Schizosaccharomyces pombe: one gene and its partner. Changing the gene in region 2 together with the main gene of any one other region gives a genetic interaction. Each region holds a gene or a part of one and is shown on either strand. Other genes may lie near its edges.

What was found.
Region 1: mutations in swi3 (region 2) and chk1 impair growth when combined (synthetic growth defect), as found in Schizosaccharomyces pombe (3 studies listed by BioGRID, with this or other methods).

Annotation. Positions count from the first base shown.
Region 1 is NC_003421.2:1,057,967-1,065,165, reverse strand, and holds chk1 (protein kinase Chk1), read right to left. Parts: upstream 5,371-7,199; 5' UTR 5,147-5,370; coding exon 5,079-5,146; intron 5,034-5,078; coding exon 4,792-5,033; exon of another isoform or gene 4,746-4,791; coding exon 4,317-4,745; exon of another isoform or gene 4,279-4,316; coding exon 4,071-4,278; exon of another isoform or gene 4,025-4,070; coding exon 3,835-4,024; intron 3,790-3,834; coding exon 3,493-3,789; exon of another isoform or gene 3,448-3,492; coding exon 3,391-3,447; 3' UTR 3,182-3,390; coding exon of another isoform or gene 971-3,181; 3' UTR 723-970; downstream 1-722. Other genes in the region: protein Meu27, read left to right, coding at 971-3,181; ubiquitin-conjugating enzyme E2-C Ubc11, read left to right, coding at 5,429-5,523, 5,572-5,599, 5,650-5,739, 5,909-6,144, 6,195-6,276; gid1 (putative Ran GTPase binding protein), read left to right, coding at 6,977-7,199.
Region 2 is NC_003423.3:3,090,127-3,093,369, forward strand, and holds swi3 (replication fork protection complex subunit Swi3), read right to left. Parts: upstream 1,731-3,243; 5' UTR 1,402-1,730; coding exon 1,235-1,401; exon of another isoform or gene 1,177-1,234; coding exon 798-1,176; 3' UTR 733-797; downstream 1-732. Other genes in the region: SPOM_SPBC30D10.05C (sepiapterin reductase), read left to right, coding at 1-614; isn1 (IMP 5'-nucleotidase), read left to right, coding at 1,957-2,164, 2,214-3,136, 3,187-3,243. UniProt on the Schizosaccharomyces pombe protein: Forms a fork protection complex (FPC) with swi1. FPC coordinates leading and lagging strand synthesis and moves with the replication fork. It is required for programmed fork-pausing which is necessary for mating-type switching.

The sequences.
Region 1 (7,199 bases), on a different chromosome or scaffold from region 2:
ATAGTAAAGGAAGTAATAATCGACTAACATAGAGTAAAAATCAACCATGGGCATGTGGTGTAGATGGTTATCACGCTTCCTTAGCATGGAAGAGGTCCCAGATTCGAGTTCTGGCTTGTCCAAAATTTTTAATAAATAATGTGTTGGTCACGCAATATGAAACTGGAAATTTGATATTCGTACTAACATACGAACGAAAATAAAACACTTTCTATTTTCTGAAATTTTTACTTCAGAAAGATATTTTCGGGGGTATTCATGAATCAATAACTTTTGACAACATAAATACAATATAATTCGATCACTAAAAAATAACTTCTGTTTATTTACAGTTGCTAGTATTCCACTCTTTTTCGTTTGTTTATTTACACATTATTTTCCTTTAACTCAGAATTGCGTTAAATGATTCTTTTCGAATGTATAATTGCAGCAATGTTGATTTGTTTATTATTTTTGTTTACAACATTATACTTGGTTGTCTTTAGTAAATCTTGCCTCCTTATTGGTTACAAGTCAAACATCCATTGTAAATAGTGAGTAATTGGTGTTGTTTATTTAGGCTTAGTTCAAAGGCTTAGCTAAGGATATTATTACTATTCAGTTAATCTAAATCCTTTGTTATTTGAGCTATTTATCCAGGATGCAAATGGTTAGCGAAAGCTTTTATTTTTAAATGATCATCTTTTAGTAATATTAAATGTTTACTTAACACTTTTTTAAGCAAATGTTAGGTGAGCATCAAATTATCATTCGATGTTTGTTTATTGTGAGGGATTTCATAAATTATTAGTTATGATAAAACAATGTGTTAATATAAACGAAATGAATTGTTTTTTAATATAAATAACCCAAGGTTGAACATGTTTTACCCAACCTTTGTATACACTTCAAGAGATTGAACACGATCTCTAATTACTGAGTTATCCAACTGGCAATCACTCAAGCCTCAAAAGAGCCAAGTAACTTCGTAATGAACAGTAAAATTGCTTATCCAGAGATTAAAATATCAGGTGCCTTTCGTCCTGATAAAATACAGGAAAAGGGAAAAAGTAACCGATGTGATACTCACTGCTCTGGTAGCTCTTGGACAAGTTTTAAATCAAAGATCCTAAAAATTTGCGCTCCTCTCTGCTGTATGGGTTCTGATAACGATGAAAGCATGGCAGAAATGCCATTAGAACCCCAAGTTGAGCCAAAATCAATAGAGAACAATTATACTTTAAAAAAAAAAAATGAAGAAGGCTTCTTAAGTCAACAGGAAAATAAGTCTTCAAACCAAAATCCTTCAAAGGCTAATAACCTTTTCGACAAGCTCGGCGTAAGCAAGCCAATAACATTCATAGCTTGTATACTGCAATTGGGCGGCACCTCTTTTATGGAATCAGAACTCCAGACGAAACTTTCAACTATTAATAGCTCGCCGTTTAAAAGTTTATCCCAATACTGGAATGCTGCATACAATAAAAAGGAATCAATATCATCTTCAACGAATAGTAACATCAAATTACATTTGGCAGCTCGTAAATACCAAACAAAACCTGAAAAATTTAACGAAAATTCTTCCATTAGTCAGGTTACATCCGCAATAAAAGCAACAAAGGCATTTTCGCATTTAACTCAACCGAAGAGGGCACTATTGAAAGAAAGCAATACGGGAGATAAAGATATATTTAAGCCTCGGTATCCACAGCTTCTAAGCTGTAGATTTACAACCTTGAGCAAATTGGCGCCAATTAATAATTCCAAATCAGCACCTAAAGGTACCCACAAACCGAACCACTCAGAAAATGCTGAATTAAAAGATATAAAACAGAGCTCTGAGCTTTCTGACTTATCACTATCTTCACAGATTTTATATCCCGAATCCACGACTTTAAGTGAAATATCGCCGATATATGATTCTGAATTAGCAATTGAAAATATACTCGAATCTAAGTGCTTTGAAAATGAACAAGCCATAATAGAAGGAGTAAAAGATTTTACCGAATTTCCCGACCTAGAAGAAACACAGATTATATATTCCGACCTCATCGCTTCCAGTGAAGTATCGCCAATATATGATTCTGAATTGAAATATGAAAGTGTACTCGAATCCAAAAGCTCTAGAAACGAACAGGCTACAATAAAAGAAAAAAAAGATAATGAAAGGGTCCTCGACTTGTCACAGCAATGCACAAAGTTTCTTTTCAGTGACCAAAAGGTTATTACCCCAAGCTTTTGCAAATTTGCCCAAGTATCAGACATGTGCTCTACTGAAATTCCTTGGGTAAACTTCTTTTGTGATAACCTAGATATATGTATCGAAGATGTTCAATTCAAGAGTAAAGCCTTTTTTCCACCTACAGTAACTATTACCATCTTTGAGCACGAAGATAAAAACTTGATGAATGTCTTCGATACTAAAAATGGAACATCAAAAACATTAGTGAAACCTCAAATAACTAATAGCTGCCTTGAAAATATGCTATCACTTGTAAACAAGAACAGCTGTATTAAAAGGCTTCACTTAAAGTTGTCTAAAGGGATAATGGACATCAAGGTATTAACTCATCAGCTAATGCTATATGATCTTTATCCTCCTGCTCACCAAACATATCTATGGAAAGCATTAGAACGACTAGTGAATGAAAAGGTGAGTTTAGGAGAACTAACACCTGTTCACAAAGTAGCAGCCGAAAAGAGAATAGGAGACATCCGGATGCATTTAATTGAATCTTCGGATATATACGTTGTTACTGAAAATCATCGCTGGCTACATATCGTGTGTGAGGGCTTTAACTGTTTCTTAGAGCTTCCCGAAGTACTTCACGGAAAGAAGTTTTTAAAAGTAGATGAGGCTACAAGAGAAGACATGTTAATGTCTGCAGAGACTCCAGACGATATTTTATGGATAACTACATTGATAAGTACTGGTTCATCGATGTCACATTTTCCTTTGCATGCTTACCTGGAAGCCAAAGAGAGACAAGAATTCACAAAAAAGAACCTTTTACTATTTTGTAAAGAAGATGAGTTTTTATACTCCGACCAAGAAAATGAAGACCTTTTAGAATCGTTTGAAAGAGTTATTTCAGAAGAGTTATCCCTTTTAAAATCAAATGAGCCGTCAGATATCTCACTAAAAAAGAGAAAAAGAAGAAAGAATTGTGAGAAAAGAATATTGGGTACAATGATGTATTAAACGGCATGGCCAGTCGGAAGAACTATCCTTATGCTAATAATATATCTTCAGCATTCGCAACCATTGATATTTGCTTGACAAAGCGTTAATAATCCTATTCCCTAGGATATCATTTGTACTACCACAAAATTGAAAATAAATTCACAACGAAGTCAAACAACAGGTTTCTTTTACAAACGAACTGGCACGACCTTTCAAAAGATGTGCAATTAATTTTGTGAAACATCTGTAAGAACAATCGGCTTCCCTATTGAACTGACAACGTTCTTTCACATGGATTAGTATATGAAATCCCTATGATAAAGACATACTTTAAAAAATTTTCTCCATTCAAGAGGATCCCCATTACGCTTTATAAAGTTTATAAGCTCTAAGTTATGGCCTAAATTAGTTAGTTCAATAACACCTTGCAAGAGACATTTCCGTTTATCATGTAAATTAACATAAAGGATGGTCTGATTTCGAACATATTTCATAGTCACTGAGATTGCAAGTAGTCGTAGACTGTCATAAAGATGATCTATAATGGTTTCTCTCGACGCCCTAGAATAAAACCTAGTGAGTCTTTCAGGAGGACAAATTTCGTAGAAATTCTTAGCCTTTTTGGCCTTTTTCATATAGTTAGAAAAAATTTAGGTTTAAATAAATAATACCAATCTTTTAATAAAACCTTCATTCTCACAAAACTGACTCAATGAGGGGTCTTTTTCAAGGATTTCAGTAACGTCAATATTTTTATTAAGTTGTACTGGCTGGGATAAGGCGCCATAAACTTCTACACGATCCAACTCCTTTTGGTCATTTTTTTTAAAAGCTGGCTGTGTCATTGAAAAACCGCTATCGCTAATTGAAAGAGTTAGAAATATGAAACAACTGTGCAAGATCTTACTTTTGAGATGCTCTAGATGAGGCAAGACGTGGTTTATCTAAATCAATACGAAGTTTCAACATGAGCCTTGATGCCAATGCTACAGGATCGGCACAATTCCCATTTTTAGTTCGAAATGGTGTACTTGAGGTAAGCCATGGGTGCTGTACAACATGTTTGACAGAGTAGCGCTTAAATGGATCACTTCGAAGCATTCCGGTGATAATCGCTGATCATTAGTTTAAAGGAATTTCAGTCAGGACTTACAATAGGCTCCTGGAGACAACAAGTTCCATGGGTGGTAAGACGGGCGTTCACATTGTTTTTTATAAAGCAAGTAGTCACCAGTGTTGCTAATTGCTTCATCCCAAGGTGTGTTGCCTAATAACAAAGCAAAAAGAATTATACCGCAGGACCAGACATCAACTTTTGAACCATCATACTGCTGTGTAATTTCTGGAGCAGCGTATGGTGGACTACCCACTGGACTATTCAAAAGCCTACTTTTACCTTTATAGGAAAATAAAGATGCAAAGCCGAAGTCTGAAATCTTTAAGTTACCATTGTAATCTAAAAGGATGTTCTCAGGTTTCAAGTCTCGATGCGCGACACCTTTAGAGTGCATGAAGGAAATACCTTCCATAAGTTGAGCAAAATAAAACTGAGCGACGTCCTCATCAATACCTACATCAGGCTCTAAATTGTAAGTCCGTTAGTAAAAACGAAAGGTTCATGCACCCACCTATTTTGTCAAATAAGTCACCACCTTGAGCAAATTCAAGTACTACCCATCTCCATTGGGGATTTTCTGCTGTATTATAAAAATGAATGATATTTTTATGTCCATTGCATAGTTTGTGAAGTTGTATTTCACTAGCCATCCTTCTAGCCCATACCCCTGCATTCATACAACTAGTAGCATGTTTTTTATTGACAAATTTGACAGCATATATTTTAGCATTATCATCGTAACATAAACGGACGCTTGCTTAAGTTAGTATATAGTATTTTTCAAATCAAAATTCATACGAAGCAAAAGCCCCAGTACCTATTTCTCTACCAATATGGTAAGGAAAGTTATCTAATTTTTGAGCCATTCTTTGGTGTAAAGGGAAAGAAGATTATAATATAACACAAGCATATGTTGCAAATTTTGGCATGTGTATTATTTACAGTCTTAACATCATCAAAGACTGGAAAAGATTAAATTAAGGTAATTTTTAAATGAGTTTTAAATCTATATAATGATATAAAATTGGACTATAATTTGATATCCGGTTTTCGTTTACTTGTGTACATTAGCACATGTTGTGTTGTGTTTATAACTTACTCTCCTACCACCACGTACTCATTGAGAAACTACAGTAACAACTTGAGGAATGGATTCTGATATGCAAAACCAGAACCCTCATACTAATTCTAAAAACTCTTCTTCTGCTGGCATGGCTGTTGACGGTCATAGCGTTACAAAACGGTAAAAAATAAACAGTTTTTAGGAAAAAAGTCTCTAATGCATTTGTAGATTGAGAAGCGAATTAATGAGTTTAATGGTTTGTAATAAGCTTTTTTACTTTGTTATTAACTAGGGTTTTATGACTAGATGTCCAATACTCCTGGAATTAGTGCGTTTCCAGATTCTGATTCTAACCTGCTACATTGGGCTGGCACAATTACCGGCCCAAGCGATACGGTATGACTTTTATTTTGAAAGCTTAATATTTAAAGTATATGAATAATGCTTGGTGTGCTTACTTGTAGCTGCACTTTAATGGAAAATTAATACACATCTTTGTCATTACATTTTCATAACTGTCTACTCTTCTTTCTTCTTTTTCATACGACTAACGTAACGAAAATAGTACTATGAAGGATTGAAATTTAAAATTTCAATGTCATTTCCAGCTAATTACCCATATTCCCCTCCAACTATCATTTTTACTTCACCAATGTGGCACCCCAATGTCGATATGAGTGGAAACATATGTTTAGACATTTTAAAAGATAAATGGTCAGCAGTCTATAACGTACAGACAATTTTGTTATCTCTACAAAGTCTGCTGGGTGAGCCAAACAATGCTTCTCCCTTGAATGCTCAGTATGTTGAAAATATCTCATTTACCTTTTTTGATTATTAACAATTCTTAGAGCTGCAGAATTGTGGAGTAAAGACCCTATCGAGTACAAACGTCTTTTAATGCAGAGATATAAAGAAATCGATGAAATTTAGTTAGGCCGGTCTATTTCATACTCATTTTCATTTCTGTTTAGTCATATGGATTTTCTTTTCCTATTCAATGCTTGAAAAAATGTCTTTAGTTAAACTTTCTTCATTGATAATGGAAGTTGAAATTATTTCATCTCATCGATTAAGCAATTCCTTCATGCAATGCCACAACCTCCTGAAAACCACCGAATGGTTTTTTAAGGACCGTCTATCATTATTTAGTTCCAGAAGTTGAAGTTGTTATTATGATGCTCGATTAAAGCTATTCTTGTTTAATGCATTCCGTTAATGCAGTCGTTTTTTTAGCTTTCCGTTAGATTATAATACTATTTTATTATTATTGATTCTCAATGTCATTGTGTTATGTATTATCGCAAGACAAGTATCAATGTTATGTTGTGCCTGAATTTTTTTCTGATTAGTAATAGGACTGTATATACAGCCTAATATTTGTATTTCTAATTTTGAGCCTTTAATCCTTATGAAGCCGTATAGTGAAGTATCTTTTCAGTCTCAGAGCATTTTATAGAGTTGCTGAAATTTACACGTCATTTAAAAATTTAAGAGTTTTACCAATTATTATTACAAAAGATTTGTATTTAATTACAAAAGAAAAACTGATTAGAAAATTGAACATTTAAACTGATAGCTGAATAAGCTACTAAAACTGGCTGTTTATATGCTACCAAGAGCATACCTGCGAATGACTAGTACACCAAAGAATCTTGAAAAACAGCCGATTAACTTCGACAATCTCCCCTTGTATTTACAAGGAACCAATTACGGAGAAAATGTGCTTAGAAGTGACCCACGATGGCTGAAATGGGAGAAGTATTTACGAGAGTTTGACATGACAAGGGAGGGCAATGTAACAAATACGCCGAAAGCCATTCCATCTTCATGGAATCCCAACGATAAGTCAGATT
Region 2 (3,243 bases):
AAACTTTGCTTATTCAAAATCCTGACTCATTTGTTCACGTGAAGGGTGACGTTACGGAGGTTGGAAAAGCTAGTATCGAAACTGCTATTAAAAAGTTTGGAAAATTGGACTCGGTTATTCTAAATGCAGGTGTCCTTGAACCTATAGCCAAAATCGCTGATGCAGATATCAATGAATGGCGTAAGTTGTTTGATATCAACTTTTTCAGTGTGGTTGAAACAGTGAAGTATGCAATCCCGCATTTGCGTAAAACCAAGGGTACTATTGTGATTGTATCCTCTGGCGCTGCTGTTCGTGTTTTTCCCGCGTGGGCTGCATATTGTTGCTCAAAGGCCGCCATCAACATGCTAGTCATGAACCTTGGCAGCGAGGAGCCTGATATAATGAGTGTGGCAGTACGTCCGGGAGTTGTTGATACCCCTATGCAAGTTAGTATCCGTAATGATTCCAATAAAGAAGCCATGGGTGGAGATACTCATAATTTTTTCAAAGAACTTAAAACATCCGGTCAACTTGTGGCTCCTCAGGACATCGCCAAAGCTCTTTCTTTTCTAGCCTTGAATAACAATCCAAAGCTTACTGGTCAATTCGTAGAATGGAAATCATTTGTCTAGATGTTCTATAGTTTATTGAATTTCGGAGTTAGAGGCTACAATTGTTCGTTTAAATAAAACAAAATGAATAAATTAAACATTACATCAAATAAAAGTAGCTGAAAATAGTCCCAAAAAATGATCATGATTACTAATATTGATAAACAAAGCTGCAACAACATCTCAATCATTCATTAATGGTGACTATTCTAATTGGGTATCGTTGTCTTGGGCGACAAAAGCATCATCAGCTGTATCTTGAACATATGGATCTCCGCTCGTCAAATTCACTAATGAATTGGAAGATGGACCAGTAAATAATGAAGCATTAGAGTCCGAACCATTTTCAACAGCAATTTCATTAATCCAACCACGACGTCGAACCTTGACGGATCTGTGTTTTCCTAGAGTTTTAAGATACGATATTGAGTCATCAAACGTGGCTCTTGGATATAACTCATGAGTCCATATATGATACATTCCCAATAGTTGTTTTAAGTCTTTTGCCTCATGACCCTTTCCTTTTAACTTAACTTTGCGCATCATTTTCCTTAATTTTGGAATTCCATTTTCAGAAATCAATCTAAATAGGGAAAACGAGTGGTCAATAATTATTTTCCGAAAACCGACCAAATTCTTACCTTTCTTCATCAAATTTTGCCAACCGTTTGCGAGGTTTTTTTACAGAATCTGGATTTTCTTCTAACCCTAAATCAAATTCTTTTTCTTCTTCATTCTTTTTCACCTCTTCCCTTTTGTTTTCCTCGACGAGTTTTTCAACACCTGAATCAGAAGCAGCTGTAGACATTTCTTATGGTGTTTTTTTAAAATATATATTTGCTTGTATGTTTCGCAAAAGAGAGTTAGTGAATGCAATAAATATCGATTTGCTTGCTGTTTCGCTTCAAAAGTTCTGTTAATCTAGCAATTTTTCTATGTACTATTGACTTTACTGCTAATGAAAAGCGAATAGAACCTTTCAAATTTAACTGCGCAGCAAGAAAGGTTTATAATTTACTAATGAAAGAAAATTCCTTATTTAACGCGGATTAGAAATGTGTAGAGGAAGAATAGTTCAGAAGGCTCATGTTACACCTGGACTATATACTTTTATAAAATTTTGTTAAGAATGCTCATAAATTATAGCTAATTTTTGGAATTGTGATAGACGTATTTGAGTGATAGTGCTCGCTGCTAATACTAGTATAACAATTCTCAACGTAATCATTTTTGAATCGTTTCGGAAAGCATAATAAAGCAACTTTTACCCTTTCTCTTTCAATTAACATACTTTCCTTCAAATTTCTTGCATTCGTGTAGATTTCTTTTTTTGAATAAGTGTTTGTCATTAAAGGTTTAGGCAATGGCTTCTAGATATCGTGTTGAGTATGCGTTAAAGCAACATCGGAAGGACGATTTTATTGAATGGATTAAAGGTTTGTTGTCAGTTCCTTTTGTTTTACAGGCAGGAACCCCTTCACAGAAACTAGTAACGCGCGAAAAAGAGCAGGAAACGCTTGAGCGTTACGCTGTAATTTTAAGAGATGTGGAAAAACTTATTGAGGCTCATAGTAAGTTTCCCCTTCATTCTTTTAATTTTCTAACCTTTCTCATTGATAGTTCAAATAGTTTCAGAAGGTGGATCCTATAGCCAGTTAAAGATGCTTGTTCCATCGATCACCATATTTTGGACACCTTTGCCATTAGTGAAAGCTATGTACGCGTTGGAACCAAAGCTTTGTCTAGCTAAACGAAGCTTTGTGGCACCGAGTTTTAACGATGTCAGGGCAATATTAGGAGGTGCTCAATTGAATTACCTTGCGGATAATGGCTTGGATATGGTCAGTTTTGATGGAGATGTAACTCTGTACGAAGATGGGCAGCCTTTGCTTCCTGACAATCCTGTTATATCCCGTTTGATTCAGTTACTTTCGAGGGGGATCTATGTCATCATTCTTACTGCTGCTGGCTATCCCAGTCGTACTGGCCAGGAGTATACTGATAGATTTTCAGGATTATTGCAGGCAATCGAAGACAGCGACTTGAAGGATGGGCAGAAACGGAAACTTCATGTATTAGGAGGCGAGAGCAATTACTTATTTGCTTATGACCCACTGCATGGTTTACAATGGGTGGATGCTGACTCATGGATGCTTCCCGTGATGAAAACATGGCCTCATGATGAGATTCTCGAAATTTTGGATACTGCTGAAGAAACTCTTCGTTCTTGCATTCAAGGACTTAACATTGATGCAAAAATAGTTCGTAAAGAAAGATCAGTTGGATTTGTACCTTCCCTTGGTCAAAAACTGAGAAGGGAGCAACTGGAGGAAGCTGTTTTGGAGACACAAGCAACGTTGCAGATACGAAATTTCTCAGTTCCTTTTACTGCTTTCAATGGTGGAAATGATATTTGGTGTGATATTGGTGACAAGAAATTGGGTGTTTTATGCCTTCAGCATTTTTTTAATATTTCCCATCCTTCTCGCTGTCTGCATGTTGGTGATCAATTCTTGTCAGCTGGTAACAATGATTATAAAGCGGTAAGTTTGAAATAAACTTTTGTTGAAGATTACTAACCACCTATTCAAAGAGAGCTGCTGCTACCACTGTTTGGGTATCCAGCCCCCACGAGACGATTGAGTTTTTA